Caenorhabditis elegans: one gene and its partner. The protein of the gene in region 1 interacts with the protein of each later gene in a pairwise test. Each region holds a gene or a part of one and is shown on either strand. Other genes may lie near its edges.

Evidence for each region.
Region 2: the proteins of rfip-1 (region 1) and gst-40 interact in a two-hybrid assay, tested with the Caenorhabditis elegans proteins (one large-scale study listed by BioGRID).

Annotation. Positions count from the first base shown.
Region 1 is NC_003280.10:5,882,310-5,890,026, reverse strand, and holds the start of rfip-1 (FIP-RBD domain-containing protein), read right to left. Parts: upstream 3,660-7,717; 5' UTR 3,573-3,659; coding exon 3,531-3,572; intron 568-3,530; exon of another isoform or gene 320-567; intron 1-319.
Region 2 is NC_003282.8:755,732-763,448, reverse strand, and holds gst-40 (Glutathione S-transferase), read right to left. Parts: upstream 2,948-7,717; 5' UTR 2,832-2,947; coding exon 2,749-2,831; intron 2,704-2,748; coding exon 2,636-2,703; intron 1,848-2,635; coding exon 1,624-1,847; intron 1,580-1,623; coding exon 1,427-1,579; intron 1,277-1,426; coding exon 1,154-1,276; 3' UTR 1,030-1,153; downstream 1-1,029. Other genes in the region: col-103 (Nematode cuticle collagen N-terminal domain-containing protein), read left to right, coding at 25-996; srt-23 (Serpentine Receptor, class T), read right to left, coding at 4,365-4,561, 4,858-4,987, 5,478-5,624, 5,673-5,899, 5,945-6,146, 6,561-6,728.

The sequences.
Region 1 (7,717 bases):
TGAAAAGAGATGACGAACAAGGCAAAAACGAAAAATTCTAGTTGTTAAGGGATTTGAACTGGTCTACCCGGATTAATTGCCCCGATTTAGGGAGTGGAAAACATGGGATTAGAGACAAGATTAAACTAAATTAATTTGATTATATCAAATTAAAATTTCTTTGAAGATCATTTTCAGAACATATTACTCATAGGTATCATAAATTTTTTTTAAATCTGAAGACGATTTCAAATTTGTTTTTTACCAATTTTTGCTAATTAAAGGATACAATTACAACATACAATTACAAAAAGATTATATGTATTAACTCAAAACTCACATCAATCAGATAATGCTCTTTCTGGAATTCTTCAATTTTGAAGTGTGGCAGTGGTGACTAGGCAAAAAATATTAAAAGAGGTGGGAGAATAGAGGTGGAGCGGATTGCGAAACACCGAACTCTGAATCTCTTCAGCCTCGAATAATATTTATTTTTAAGCTGTCCCTGCTTCTACTGAGCCGCTCCTCGCGGTTTCTATGGATACGGACAGAGCAGACGCTATGAAATGACGCACGTGGGATTTAGAGCTAAAAAAATGTAGAATGATGTGAGTCAATGAAACTAAATACCTAAGTACTCGAAGGACGTTGTAGTTTTAAAACAAAGTTCCCCTCTAACAAATATGTTAGAAAAGAGCTCATAAAATGTCATGTCTTGTCATGTTCTTCTGACAAGTTTCTGTGCCACCTGAGCAGGCGACGATAAGAGTGATAAGAGACGCAGATATTGCTCGGAATGACTCAATTTCTTCACTTTTCCAGAGAGGGGGCGGGAGGGAACAAGCACTTCATTTCTTGACTCATAATGGAACCGAAACCTTTCACGTCATTACGAGCTTTGTCATTACAGAGAGGAACAAAAATGAGAAAAAAAATCTGAAACAGATGATTCAATAGAAAAGTTCAAAAATCTCTAACAACGACATTTGAGACCACGGCACACAGAGTGTGAAATCACCGGAAAATGAGAGATTAACGGATCAGAGAGATCAGTTTTAGTTGAACAGAAATAGTAGCGAGGAGAACAATTTTCCCTGCTGAAGTTTTCGATTTTTGGAAATAACGAAAGACAGAAAATGAGCGTAGAAAATAAATAAATGTTATTTGGACGATATAATTTGAAAGTGGAGTTGTATCAGTTGGAATTTTTTGAAGTACACTGATCATGGTAATTCAGTCCAAAAATTTCAGTTCAAATTTTGCAACTGTATTTGGTCAGTTAAGAAGGTTTTATAGAATTTTCTACTGGCGCTTTCTATCATCAAAATCATTCGATAATTGCTCAAAAATTTGATAAAGTAGATAGTAGTTTCTTAGTGTCTGGAGTTTCAATATCATAATTTTCGATTAAACCGTACACCATCTAGTCTTATATTTTGAGTCTCAAATGCAAAAATAATGCTTGAAACAAGACTTAGACTGCGTGATCTAGATATCTAAAATCTCACCTCGTATAGTTGGAACATTCGAGCTTCTAATTATCAAAAGAAAGAAATAACAAAAATAATGAATTCACAGAACTGGGAATACTTGACGACAGTGTTCACCTCTTTTTGAAAAGAGACTAAACTCGGGCAATACAAGAGATATCAAGTGACGGGAATGACGATTGCGGCAAAAAGGCTGCCTTGTCCGGAAAACGACGTATTTGTCGTTCCGCCGACGGTTTTCCGCGGACTCTCTCTGCCTCTCTCTGTTCATCTATATTCCGGAAGAGAACAAAAACATACATAAGCATACAGAATAGACAAACGTTTTTTGCGTGGAAAAGATGAAGAGAAATATGACGAAAAACGAGTGGATAACAAAGAGCGGCACACGGAAAAGCCTCGAACGGTTTGCAAGGCTTTTTTGAGGAAAGAAAATGGACAGTGGAAGAAGAAAAAAGTGCGTGAGGATTACGGTAAGTGGTTTGTTGGGATTTTACCAGGAACCGGACTACATCATGAAGCTTCACTAGAAACGTGCGCGAATCAATTTACAGACGTACATTTTATTAATGGAAACAACATGTAGATGGTAAAATTTGCAGATAACTTTTTCTCCATAAATAATTCATGTAAATGATTTTTCTAAAAATTTGAAATTCTCTGAAACTGTATTCAAGTTTTCAAAAGAGAATGATTATGTTAGAAATTATAAAAGATCATTTTTAAAAATATTAAAACTTTTATAGCTCTGAAAACCGTGTGACGTAAAAAATTGCGCTGAATTTGATGCTAACGGAATATAAAGATTATGCAATTGAAACCTGAAAAATTAATTCCACAAACAAAGTTGTTGATAGGAAAATACCGCAAGTTTGCCAAATTTGACCGTATTCTTTATCACGTTTGTCAAAAATTGAGATTTTGTATTCCAATATGGCAGTTCGTTTTATATAGCTATAAATTTAGTCAATTCTTGTGGAAAAAATCAGCTGTTGAATTCTCAAGTTGTTTTTATTTATTTTTTATATTCCCTTCCTATCAAAAGATCGACAAGACGATGAGCATTCTTACACGAAAAACAAATAGATTAGAACCAAAAAATTCCGATACTTTTCCCATTTTTATTGTGACGTGGCAACTGACTCATTTCCTATGACGTTTTAGACAGAAAAAAAATACAGAGTTCAGAGTAGATCATCAGAGATCATCAACAAAAGTTGTTTGACAAACAACACAAATTGGTGGGAACTTCTAGGTGAAAACTGAAATAATGTTCCACGTGACATGTGAATTCTAGACACTTCTCCCTTTTTTGACACTATAATTATGTGCTAGAATAATGTCATAGAAAAGGAAAAGAACATGGGTCTTCAGCTTCAGCATCTGAGAAAGAAAAAGGAGTGTATCGAAATACGGTTTTCGAGTGGAAAAGCTTCACTTGGAATAGAGTACACAAATTGGAGAGACTTAGAGACGGCGAGCAAACACTGTAGGGGATGGTCTTTTCAAAGGTGGGAAGACAGTTTTTCAGTGACTCATCCCTGTCCCAAATAGGTGGAAAAAAGTGGAGGACATTGAAATTGACATGAGGGAAATATGAACGATTATAAAGGTTACTGTCGCATGAAATGCATTCAAAAAAGATTGATAGAACCGTTTTTAGATTTTTTCATACAACAAATCAAAAGAAGCAAATGTGGTGTCCCTTGAAGCATAAATAAAATAAACTGTCCTTATTTATTGTGAAAGCTGAATAATTTGAAGGATTCTTTTTCAGGTGTATTATTTTCAACATTTCAGCTATTTAAAAAAACAATATCATCGTTAATGAGAAAAATTTGGTTAAAGATCGCCGCCCTTTATGTAAAATGGTAAGGAGAAGGCTCTGGAAATTCACATGTTTCTGATGAAAAAACGATTAGATGTTTAAAATGCATTTTTTAATGCTATTTTGTGAAGCTGCCTAGAAAATCACTAAAGTGCAAACTTGTATGACTGACTTTACTTAACCCCATTGGAATCAATTTCCCTCCGTTAATGTCAATATTGTAGAGTACTTACCGCATACTTGGACTCCTCTTCTGACACGAATTCAGTAGTCATTGTTGGAGAAATAAATGAGTGACAGAATGCCACCAAATCAATAGTTCAGAAGGTAATAGTAGCAGACGAGTGAATGCGGCAAATTGTACTGTGTTGAGAAGAAATGAGAAAACGAAGAGACTGTTATCAATTTCGAACCGCCTTCTTCAACTTTCAGGCCTGCGTCTCTCTAGCTTCAACTAGTCTCTTCAATTTTGCCAGTTTATCTTTTCAGCCACGGTCATCAGGTTGAGGTTGTAAACCCTCAATACAAAAAACAACCGAAGAAGAAGACGTTGAAGATGAAAGAATTGCGAAATCACAAGTGAAAAGAGAGGGAAAGCGAATCCGGTTTTTGGATAGTCATTGTATGTGTTCACTTGTTTTGTACGTCTTCTATTGAGCGCAATTAATCGATAGTTTTTTGACGGGTTTCGAGAAGCAAAGAAAAAACAATTGCAAAGCTATTTCAAATGACCAGTCACACCCAAGTAATTCTTGTGATAAGAGGAGATGATTAGACGATTAGGAAGTGAATTATGGGGTCATGATGTTTCTTGTAGAAGAAATTGGAAACATTAAAATTTTCAATAGTGAAACAAGGAACCAAAAATCTGTAGCGAATACTGAAGTTGGTACAAAGAGGAAGTTGAACGTATAGTCTCCCTAAATCGAAATGATTTATTCAATGTTCATACATAGAACCTTCAATGATTTGTGATTTAGCTCTAAGAGCTCAAAATGCATGGCTCTTCGAAACACATTTTTTCGAGTGATCCCATTGTTTTGTGGCTTTTCATCAACTCTGAATTGGGAAGAATGCTTTGAAAATAGGTTTACTTCTTTTTGAGTTAATAGTTTTAATTGCTAAACTTTAGTATTAGTGAGAAGTATACAGTAATTAGGAGCGGCACCGGCAAATCCACAAATTAAAAGAATCACGTCTATTGTTATAAGAATAAAAGGAAAAAGAGAAAAGGATGGTCATTTAAAGAGTCTGAAAAGTGGGTGAAAAGTGGATGAGCGTAAGATGAAGTATAATTTGAGATGGATTGGGGACAACACTCATTCCACTTTACGAAACAGGAAAAAAAACCAAAACTATTCTTTGAAGATAAAGGTCTCTAGTACAATTGAAATGCGAACATTCTATCTTGCCCCGCATTTTGTTGTTATGTGAACAAGGCTCAAGTTACTTTTACGGAATGGAAAATAGCCCGAGAGGATGAGAGGCGCAGCTTCAGGAGCAGGTAGATTCAATGTGTACTCGGGAAACTGAACAGAGTTGAAGGAAATGGGAAGGGAGGGGGAGAACGAGGTAAATGAGTCAAATGAATGCAACTATGAATACATGTTACATGACTCAACTGTAAATTATACTAGTTTTACGTACATGGCCTAGTTTGAGTGTGGAGCTAGATTTTCTTACAGTTTGGAGTCTTGAAAATATTAAAATGTTAGTAGTTTTTTTTGTTGAATGGAATTTTGCAGCTTCTCACTTTTTCATACAATAAGAATAGTCTTGCAAACGATGAGCATTTACAATTTGACAACTTTTGAAATTTCAATGTCAGTAAAAAATATTTTCAACAAATATAGATCCAAACAATTTTTCATTATTAATAGCTAGCTGTTTTTATGTTTTTGTAAATTGGGAAGCCTTGTCAAAACATATAAAAATACCAGTACAATCCGTCATACAAATATTAGGAGATGAGCAGTGTTCTGCCTAATAGAAAATTAGTCAATATTAGTTTTTCAAAAATAGATACCATTTTTTTTGCAAAATTATGAAGGAAAAAAGAATCATACCTCGCGGGCAGGCGACTCATACACGTCGGTCATGACGCTGTCGTGGTTCTGATTCAGGAGCCCAATGATGTTTTAGAAGATCGTTCGTTTCGATTTGATTGAGAGTTAAACTCTGAAATATTTCAAAATTTGATTTGGAAGAAAGTGGGAAAGCTATAAAAAGGACGACGGTTTGAAAAAATAAAAAGGGAATTTGAAAAAGATGGAGGAATTCGTATATGAAAGGAAAACTGTTAAAATGTGCGAGGAAGACTGTAAAATGAATGTGTATGTACATGTTGGAACTACCGGTACAAGAGCAAATATCAGGTGAGAAATATAAAAAATGAATGGTAACGCGAGAGAGAAATAGAGAAATAGGGGAAAATAAGCCATTTTTTAGAGGAAGTTAATGCTCCAATGCTTCAATGTTCAGGTATTTTTAGAGTGATTACAGGTTGGAATTCGAATTTTTAGAAAAACAAGCATACAAATTTAAATAATAGATGCGTTGTAGAACATTGACAAATTATCCGACTTTTGTAATTTTTTTGTGGCAAAATGCGGTCTAAATAAAATGACAAAAAGTTGAATGTGTGAACCAACAAAAGAAGCACTTTTTCATGATCTAGATGAAGAAGTGAGCCAACTGCTAGAATAATAAATTTTATAGCGGCTGTGACGCCAAGTGGAAGAAAAAAGAAAAACAAAATAAAGTAACCATAGTGATAACAGAACGTGATACCCATAATCAACTAGGTTATTCAGCTGTCTGTCAAGATCAAAAATTTAAGAAACGAATTTCTAAGAAAGAAATAAGAAAGTTGGTGAATAATTCGAAGCTCCGCCTATCTTGGCTCACAGAGTCTTCCAATTTGTCATTTCTCAAGGAAAAGGAGTGTGAAAAGTCATTCATCCGAACCCGTTCCTCCCCGTTTCCATTTTTTTGGTTCAAGTATGTATACTATAATTTATGTGTGAATCGAATCGTCGAAACGGGAAGAATGAATGGAATAAAGTGAGTGTTGAGGGTATTCGTGGTGGTAGTGGACAGAAGAACGGAAAGGACATTTTGCCCAAATACAACGACTACTAGTTTTTGAGGTGAATATAGAGGAAAAAAGAGAGAGAAAATACTTCTGAATTGGGGGGAAATAATAGGTAGTGGTCAGTTGGGTAGGTGAAGAAGTTTAAGTGGCACTTGGAAATTTGAAACATATGAGAAACTTTTATATAATTTTTTTTTAACAAAAAGAAAATTCGTAGAACAGTTAAAACACTGAACGCAGTAATTATTCCAAGTCTTATAGTTAGGTTTGAAAAACATTAATGTTTTTTTCAGAAAATACTAGAAAAGTTCAGTACAAAAAATATGTTTCTCTTTTGTGTATTCTCATCATCTTAAACAGTTAAAAAAAACTTATTTCTAGTACTTTCAGACTTCCTAACATTCGAAAATATTTATTTCTCATTTAGTTTTTTTTGTTTTTTTTTTAAGAAAAACACTCTAAAAATTATTTGACGACATTGCTTTGCTCTGGATATAAAAAACTAATTTTCACTGAATATCAAAATTGGTAGGTATGAGTTTTTTCAAACTTCCAGGTAAGGTAATAAGTTTAAGAGTTTCTAATAAATTCGAAAAAAAAACAAACTCTATTTTGCAATTTATTTGAAACAGTAAATGTTTTCATTTCCTCTCAGCATAATATTTTTTTGAAAATCCTCTAAGTGCGAAATCAGAGCTTTTCAAAAAACCACATGCTTCATAACTTCCTAAACTGAAAATTAATCTATCCCGGTGACGTAAATGAGGGAAAAAGTGGAATTTGTGGATGGAATCATCGAAATGCTTGCGCAATTGGCATTCATTCTTTCGATAAAATCTCGAAAAACGGGGCGAATCGCTTAGATTTTATTACACTTGAATGACTTTCCTCTAATTTTTTGTCTTCTTATTTTTTAACTCTGCCCTGCGAAAACTAAGAAAATATAACGATGATGAAGAAGCAGTGGGCGAAATACAAAAAAAAAGAAGGAGAAAAGCATGCATCACCGGAATGAATAATGAATGGAAAAAAGAAATAATAATAAGGAAAGGGCTGCTATGGAAACCAACGGAAAGGGGGGGGGGGGGTTTGTCTTGAGAAAGCTCAAAAATTGGAATTTCAGAGATTATTCTTCAGAAGACATTATTAAAAAGAGTCAAAAGCTGAGAATGAGCTGATCTTTTGAACAAATATAACATCAACACATTATCATAGATTGGCGTTCCGAGGCTTTGGCTCAAAAAAGGAATGGACAACGATCACATCGTTTGAGAGGCCTTGGGAATGTGCCATCCTTTCCTGTCTCTTTTTCTCTATTCCTTTCTT
Region 2 (7,717 bases), on another chromosome or scaffold:
CACAGTCAAATTTCAAATTTCTAGGTTAAATCCAACATTGCCTGGGAAGCCATCAACGACGTGATTGCACCAAACCGTGAGAAGAGAGGATACGCTCAATATGGAGGAGGCGGCGGATATGGAGGTGGACACGGAGGAGCCGCCGTCGGAGGTGGATATGGAGGAGCTGTAGGAGGAGGAGGCGGTGGAGGCTACGGTGGAGGACACGGAGGAGGCCATGGAGGAGCCGTCGGAGGAGGATACGGAGGTGGTGGCGGCGGAGGTGGTGGATGCCAATGCTCCCCAAGCTCCAACACCTGCCCACCAGGACCACGTGGACCACCAGGACAAGCCGGACTTGATGGACTCCCAGGAGCCCCAGGACAACCTGGATCAAACGGAGGAGCTGGATCAAATGGAGCTTCCGAGGGAAGCGCCGGAGGATGCAAGACCTGCCCAGCCGGACCACCAGGACCACCAGGACCAGCCGGACAAGCAGGACGCCCAGGAAACGACGGACAGCCAGGAGCCCCATCATTCGGAGGAGGTGTCGGAGCACCAGGAGCCCCAGGACCAGCCGGAGACGCCGGATCACCAGGACAACCAGGAGCACCAGGACAGCCAGGACGTCCAGGAAAGAACGCACAAGGAGGATCTTCCCGACCAGGACCACCAGGACCAGCCGGACCACCAGGACCACCAGGAAACAATGGAGCTCCAGGAGGTGGATACGGAGTTGGACCACCAGGACCACCAGGACCATCCGGGCGCCCAGGAGCCCCAGGACAGCCAGGACCAGACGGACAGCCAGGAGCTCCAGGAAACGATGGAACCCCAGGAACCGACGCTGCCTACTGCCCATGCCCAGGGCGTGGAGGAGGCGGAGGAGGATATGGAGCCGGTGCTCATCACGGAGGACCACAAGGATTCTCCCGCAGAAAGGTTGCTCGCAAGGTTCTTGCCAAGAAGCGTGTTGCCGTTCAACGTAAAGCTGCCGCAGCTGCTCGTCACGCTTAAGCCTACTTTTTTCATTCAAAATAAACGATTTGCATTCAAAACCTCCAAATACATATTTACTGGCACTCAAAAATATTAAAACATCAGAATTTGTTCAGAATCACTATCAGAATCATAGTTTCTCACAGAAATCACAATCAGGTACTCAAACATGTTATCACTCTTTGTATTTTGTCTCCGGCCAGTTGGCGTCAATATATTCCTTTAATTCCGGCAGGTTGCGCATTCTGAGATAGTACTCGCGGAGTTCGGGAAGATTGTCGAAGACACCGTCGTCGCTCTGGAAATTAGTATAGAGGTCTTTTTAGGGCACGATTGGAGTAAGTCTGACCCATTTACAGCAAAAGTCGTCACCTTTTTGACGCACTTTACTAAGGTTCTAGAGGGCGTAGGCTTCCAGCTTTCTAGCGCAGAAGTCTCCCATTCTCACCTCATCCAATGCCTGCAACACCCCAAGAATGTAGACATCACACCAATGGATCGATTTTCCCACGAAGTACTCTCCTTTGCTTTTTTTCAACAAATCTTGCATATTTTCCAGCTTTGGACCAATGGACTCTTTGTAGGTCCCCATCATGGAATCCTAAAGGAGATAAAATTGGTTTTTATAGTAGGTATAGTTGCTACCTTGATGGGATCCGGTGCATACTTAGCCATTGCGGCAAGCTGGAACAAATCAGCAAACCCATCAGCCATCATGTCCACTTTGGCCGAATCGGTTTTGGTAGCTCCGCCGAACCATCTATCCGGCTGAATTGACTTTGCCAGGTAGCGGCAAATAGATACCGTCTGACAGAGAGTAGTCTTTCCTCCATCGATTTCGATAAAAGGGAGCTGTTTCATTGGGGCTTCTGGAAAGATTCATCTGACTGAAAATTTTCCAAAAATTTTTAAAACTTTCCATAATTTTCCTAATGATTCCGAAAGTTTCCAGAAGTATTCGAAAATTTTTAAAAATTTCCAAATGTTTCTAAAAAAAGAGAAGTTCCCGAAAGATTTTAAGAAACTTCAAAAGATCACAGAACATCACTTACAACATTCCTAATTTTTTTGAATACTTTCAAGCAATTCCCAAAAAAAAAGTTCTAGTAGCTTCCAACAGCTTAAAAAGTTTCCAACTTTCCAACAAAAAATTTTCATTGGTTTCCAAAATTTTTTAAAAGATGCTAGATACTTCCGAAATATACAATCAGTTTCCAGAAATTTCTTGAAATCCTCAAAATTTTTTGGTAGTTTTTAAACGGTTTCAAAATTTTTCAGAAATGCTGGAAATTTCCAAATATTTCCATAAAATTCCGTCAAGTTACCAAAACTTTTCATAAATTTTCCAAAAAGTGTTCGATCATTTTGAGAAGTTTTTGCCAAACTTCACAAAAGATTCAGAAGTTTCCAAATGTTTCTAGAACGTTTCAGAAAGTCACAATAATTTCCATAAAACTTCAGAACTTTCTGATATTTTCCAAAATTTTTCAAATGGTTTCAGACGTTTTGAAATAATTTGAAGCGTTTTGAAAAGTTTATAAAAGTTTGAAAAAAAAATTCCAAACATCCCCGAAGACAGGATTCCAGAGCACTTTGAAATTTCAAAAAAATTGCTAGGTTTGGTTTCTAAAAATCTGAGGAAGTTTCTGTCACCTACTATCTTTCATAGCTCCAGTGAAGTCTCCTTTATCCATTCGGTAATCTTCAAAGTCCACACCAAGAAAGCTGTAAATATATCAAGATCAGAATTTTTTCAACTTCTCCACCTACTGAAAAACCAATCTAATTGGCTCGGCGCGTCCTCTCATATTGACGTAATAGAGCTTGTAGCGATGTTTTTGGTCGGGAGACATGTTGAAATTGGAAATACTGAAAAAAAAGTTGTGGACGAAATGTAGAGGAGTTAGGAGAAGAAGAAGAAGCCGGAGGGGAACAAGCCAATAATCAAAAACACGTTTTTTTTGGTTGTGGTGTGGTGCATGAGCCAGAAGGGGAGATGGAGAAGGGAGATTTATAGTGGATACTCTCTTTGCAATAGATGGAAAAGGTTGAGAGAAAAGCAGACAGAACGAGAAATGGAGGAAGGGATAAACGAAGAAAATTAAAGGGAAAATGAATGGGAAAATGGATAAAGTAAAAGACAATAGGCACGGGAAGGAAGGGGGAAAAAGAGCACCAAACATCACGAGAAAGTTAGAGGTAATGGAGCAAACTCCGCGCATGCTTTGATGCACTTGGGCCCTTCCACTATTATGCTATTATGTTTCAGAAAGACTCAGACAGTTCTAGAAAGTTTTAAAAAGTTTCAGAAAGTTCAAGACAATTGAAATTTGATGAAATTTTCTAAAGCTTTCTGAAGTCTTCTAAGACTTTCTAGAACTTTTTGAAATTTTGTGAAATTGTTTTAAAAGTTTTCTGAAACTGTCAGAAACTTTCTGACAATTTTCTACAAGTTTCTGAAAACTTAATAAAACTTTCCGCAATTTTCGGAAATTTTCTGAATTAAAAAAATTTTTCTAAAATTTCAGCAAATTTTAGAAACTTTTTAAAGCTTTCTAACAGTATCCTGCATATTTTTTGAAAATGTTCATCATTGAACAAGTTTTCAAAATTTTGTTGTTATTCAATTTTTAGTTTTAAAGTTTTTCCTAAAAAATGAGCAAATTTTTAGTTTTTATTAATTTTTAAAGACTGTAATAAACGATATAGAGTCCTAGAAATTTTTACAGACACTGAAGAAAAAAATCTTCAATTTCAAGCAAAACAAAGCCGACCAAAGAAACAAAAAAAATAGAGCTATTTGTCTTGACTGCTAGCTATCCCAACCTATATATTAAGCGTATATATGCACATCGTCGTCGTGACAATGTAGGCGGAGCCAAGAAGGCGAGCTCGTTGAGCCCTCCCCGGTGAGCTGCTTCTTCTCAAAGTACACGATGACAATTGGGGAGAGTCATGTAGCCCAGACACATGGACTTTGGTCGTTTTTCTTGGAGTATGTATATTCATATATAAGTACGTTTATTATTCATCAAGTAGTAATGAGAAAGTAAAATAAAGAATGAAATGTAAGGAGAAAATGAGTAGGGAGAAATTGAATGAAGTTTGTATTTTTTTTCTCTAGTATGGCATTCCACTAAATACATGAGTTTAAAATGTTATAACTCGGTTCATTTTAGAGATATCAATAAATAATTAACTACGAAACGATTGAAAAAGAAGTAACAAATATTTTGTCGATGGACAGTTTTTGCATAGGACACACGATAACTAAGATATCAGTTGTCAAAGTTTGGGGTGCAAAACTAATAGGAAAAATACATAGACTTTCAATGGATTAAAACTTTTCTTTAAAGATTAAAAATTAAGTTCATTAAAAAAAAATTTTAAAACACAGGTCCAGAACTTCCAGTCCTTGTTGTCAACCTCGCCTCAACACCGACTACACTAAGGATCGGACGAAGAGTCGTTGTCCGATTGGAGCCAATTCTGGCCTTATCTCTAATGATACGTGGCACCAAAAGATCGATGACCCCTCGTCGGACGGTCTTGTTCATTGTGATGTACACGATGCAAACGGATCCTGAAATATTAGAGAATTAAAAAAAATTAGGTGTACTCCTATAGACCTGCACGGAGGAGTCTTAAAATTACCGAAAAAAAGTTATTTTTTTTGTTGAAATTTTCATTTTGATGAATTACTATTGGTTTCTCCTTCTACTTCAACGAGCTCAAAATTGTCATCATCTTCGTGCTTTTTCATTTTTTTTTTGTCATCCCAATTATTCATTCGTATAGTGAAATTCACATGAAGTTACATTTTTCACAAAAAAAATGCTGACAAAAAAGTGTGTTTTAGCAACGAGTTTTTGTTCTCACCGTGAGCGCACTGCCATGCAAGCTGTCCAACAAGCACAACGGCTGGGGGAGAATAGAAGAATTGCATGTAGACATAGATGTAGGCAGCGATTGCATTGAAAGAGCAGATCAGGACGGATTGGAAGAAGATCTGGAATCAGTTGTTTGTCATGACACTGAAAGATTCACAGTTAGCCTTGAAAAAAGTTGTAGTGGTTGTGGTGAAACAACTGAAAGTTTGATATAACTAGGTCCAAAGAAAAGGAAAATACCAGCTCGACCATGCTTTAAACTTTGAATTGCCGCGCAAATTCTTGATGTTCTAGAATGTTTTTTTTCTGGATTTGGCAGAATTTTCAAGCATGTATCAAGTTTTAGTTAAATACACCAAGAATGTTCTTCAGCTAACAAAAATAAAATAACATCACAACGTGGAACGCTGATTTTGAGCCGGTGTTGTATATAAGTTGTCATATAAGTTATTTAACCTTTTTTGTATACTATGCATACTATGCATACTGTTATTGTATATATGCCTTTTTCCTTTTCATGTTCATTTATAATTTTTTGAGGCGATTTCCGGGCGAGACGGGCGGGCCGCGCCTCCATGCACAGCACTCCATAACTGCTAATTTTTTTACCTGAGTCTGAGTTCTTGAAATCGACTCTGAACGGAAATGTTTGCTCTTGGCGAACAATAGAATGCATAGATACGAGTATATTGCTGTAGTTGCCAGGGAAACAACACAGTTGTTGATGGTATGTGCGATGTTTATGTAGTCGGTCGCCTGAAATCGTATAGTTTTTTGTTATTATTGCCCAATTCCCCCCTATACCTCGTGACCAGGGAGCATTGGATTAAAGAACCAGCTCATATAGTTTGAATTAAATATAACGGGTTTGGTGAAAAATATCGAGTAAATTGTAAAAAGAATGGGGACAGCTATAGTGAGGTAGATTTTCCGGCCGATGAATATGGTGCGGATTCGGAGATGTTGATTAACATCACAACATCGATTGATTCCAAGAAGGATACAGGTAGCACAGGATCCCATCCAGCATCCTGAAATATTCCTATAAGTACTTTTCCAAGAATGGGCTAACATACCACATCCAAGAGAGCCCATCATGAAAATAAATTTTGGGTACGAGCAAAATGTTGCTCCCATTATTCCAAGGAAGCCGGTAGCAATAGAATTGGTCAAAATGCATCCAATATCCAGAAATCCAAGCCAAACCATGATCTTATAACAAGAAGACTTCATTAAATCGCTTCTACTAATTACTATAAGGCATGGGATGTAGATCATCTGAAATGCGATGATAAAAGCGGGAAAAAAGTTTTGAAAGACATTTTGCTTTTATTTTAAATTGTCTGAAAACTGTTAGAATAGTGCTAAAATTAATGAAAAAGGGATTGAAAAAAAAAAACTTGTTTCGTTCAATCAGGAGTAGACAGCCAAATGTTTTTGGCAATTGCTAATTTTTTAATGCTCCAGCAATTGGCTAAACTGAAAATTTCCGGCGAATCTGACAGTTACAGATATTGTTAAAAATTTTCACTACTAAATGTAATTTAAATAACAAATTCCATAGGTTTACGACGTACATTGTAGCCTTTCTCTTGTAAGTTGTCAACTTTCTCTAGTACGCTGTTAACGTACTGCCGCAAATTGCCAACTTTCTGTCGCACATTAGTAGCCTTGCAAGAAAGTATAACTTACTAATAAAATAATTCCCATAGTTAGAAAATATGTTCCAATATATTGTCTCGGTTGTCCAATTGCAAATCCATCAACTCCGACACAATTATAAAAATGGGGATGTACATTGAAACCATTTCGAATAAAATAGTTGAGACTCTGCTCAATATCGCTGGTCAGGAAGTTCATTTCAACTGGAAACTCCAAAAATGAATTATTGTAGCGTGTGTAGTCAACCTATATACCCGTAGTAATCCACCCTACTACCGTAATCCATTTTTTTTCTACAAATCTTCATTTTTGTTGAATGGAAAATTCATCGTCCAATAGTAAATTAATGCATTATCTAATTTTGAATTGTCGTGTGACTGAAGTGCGAGTATTGAGATTAAACTGCGAAAAACTCAAAAAATAATTATAGTGGTCGTGAAATGGGAGGCCGAGTTCAAAAACTAAAAGGTGGATTATTTTGACTCCTAACATAGACCTCCATTAAAAGATTCTGAGTTTTTCGATTCAGAGGATTACAAGTCGGCGGTCGCTTACTGAAATGTATAGGTTTACGTATTACGTATTACGTACCTAAAAAGAAGGTCTACAAGGCGACCTATTATGCCGTGCTCGGCAAAACTTTTCCCTCTACTTTTCCCTCTGTAGCACACTGTAAGCTTTATGGCGCGCCTCGTCAACTTTCTGGCGCTCATTGTCAACTTTCTCTCGCACCAAAATGCGTAAGCCTGTCTAAAATTAACTCGCGAAAATTAACTGTCCGCTGCTTTATATAGTCCCTCAAAAAAATCGACACAATTTTGTTAACAGAAAAATATATTTTGGCGAACATCGTATTTAGTTCGCTCAACCCTTTATATCTTCTTATTCGACATTGCTTTCTGAACGTTCCGACTTTGGATTTTTGATTTTTTTTTCTCCGCAAACGTTGCATTTGACACTGAAAAATGAGCATATATTATTTGCATGTTGAACAAGGTGACTATAGAAACTGGAGCTGCAAAAGAAAAAACCAAATGGGAAAAAGGAAGCTAATAAAGTTGCATTTTCATTGCTTGCAAATGTTGCTCTTGGTCTCTCTTCTCCCAATTGTGCAAGCCCTATCCGGATTTTCGGTAATAAAATTAAAAGTTTAATATTCCTACCTTGTATCAAGAACTCCAATTCTT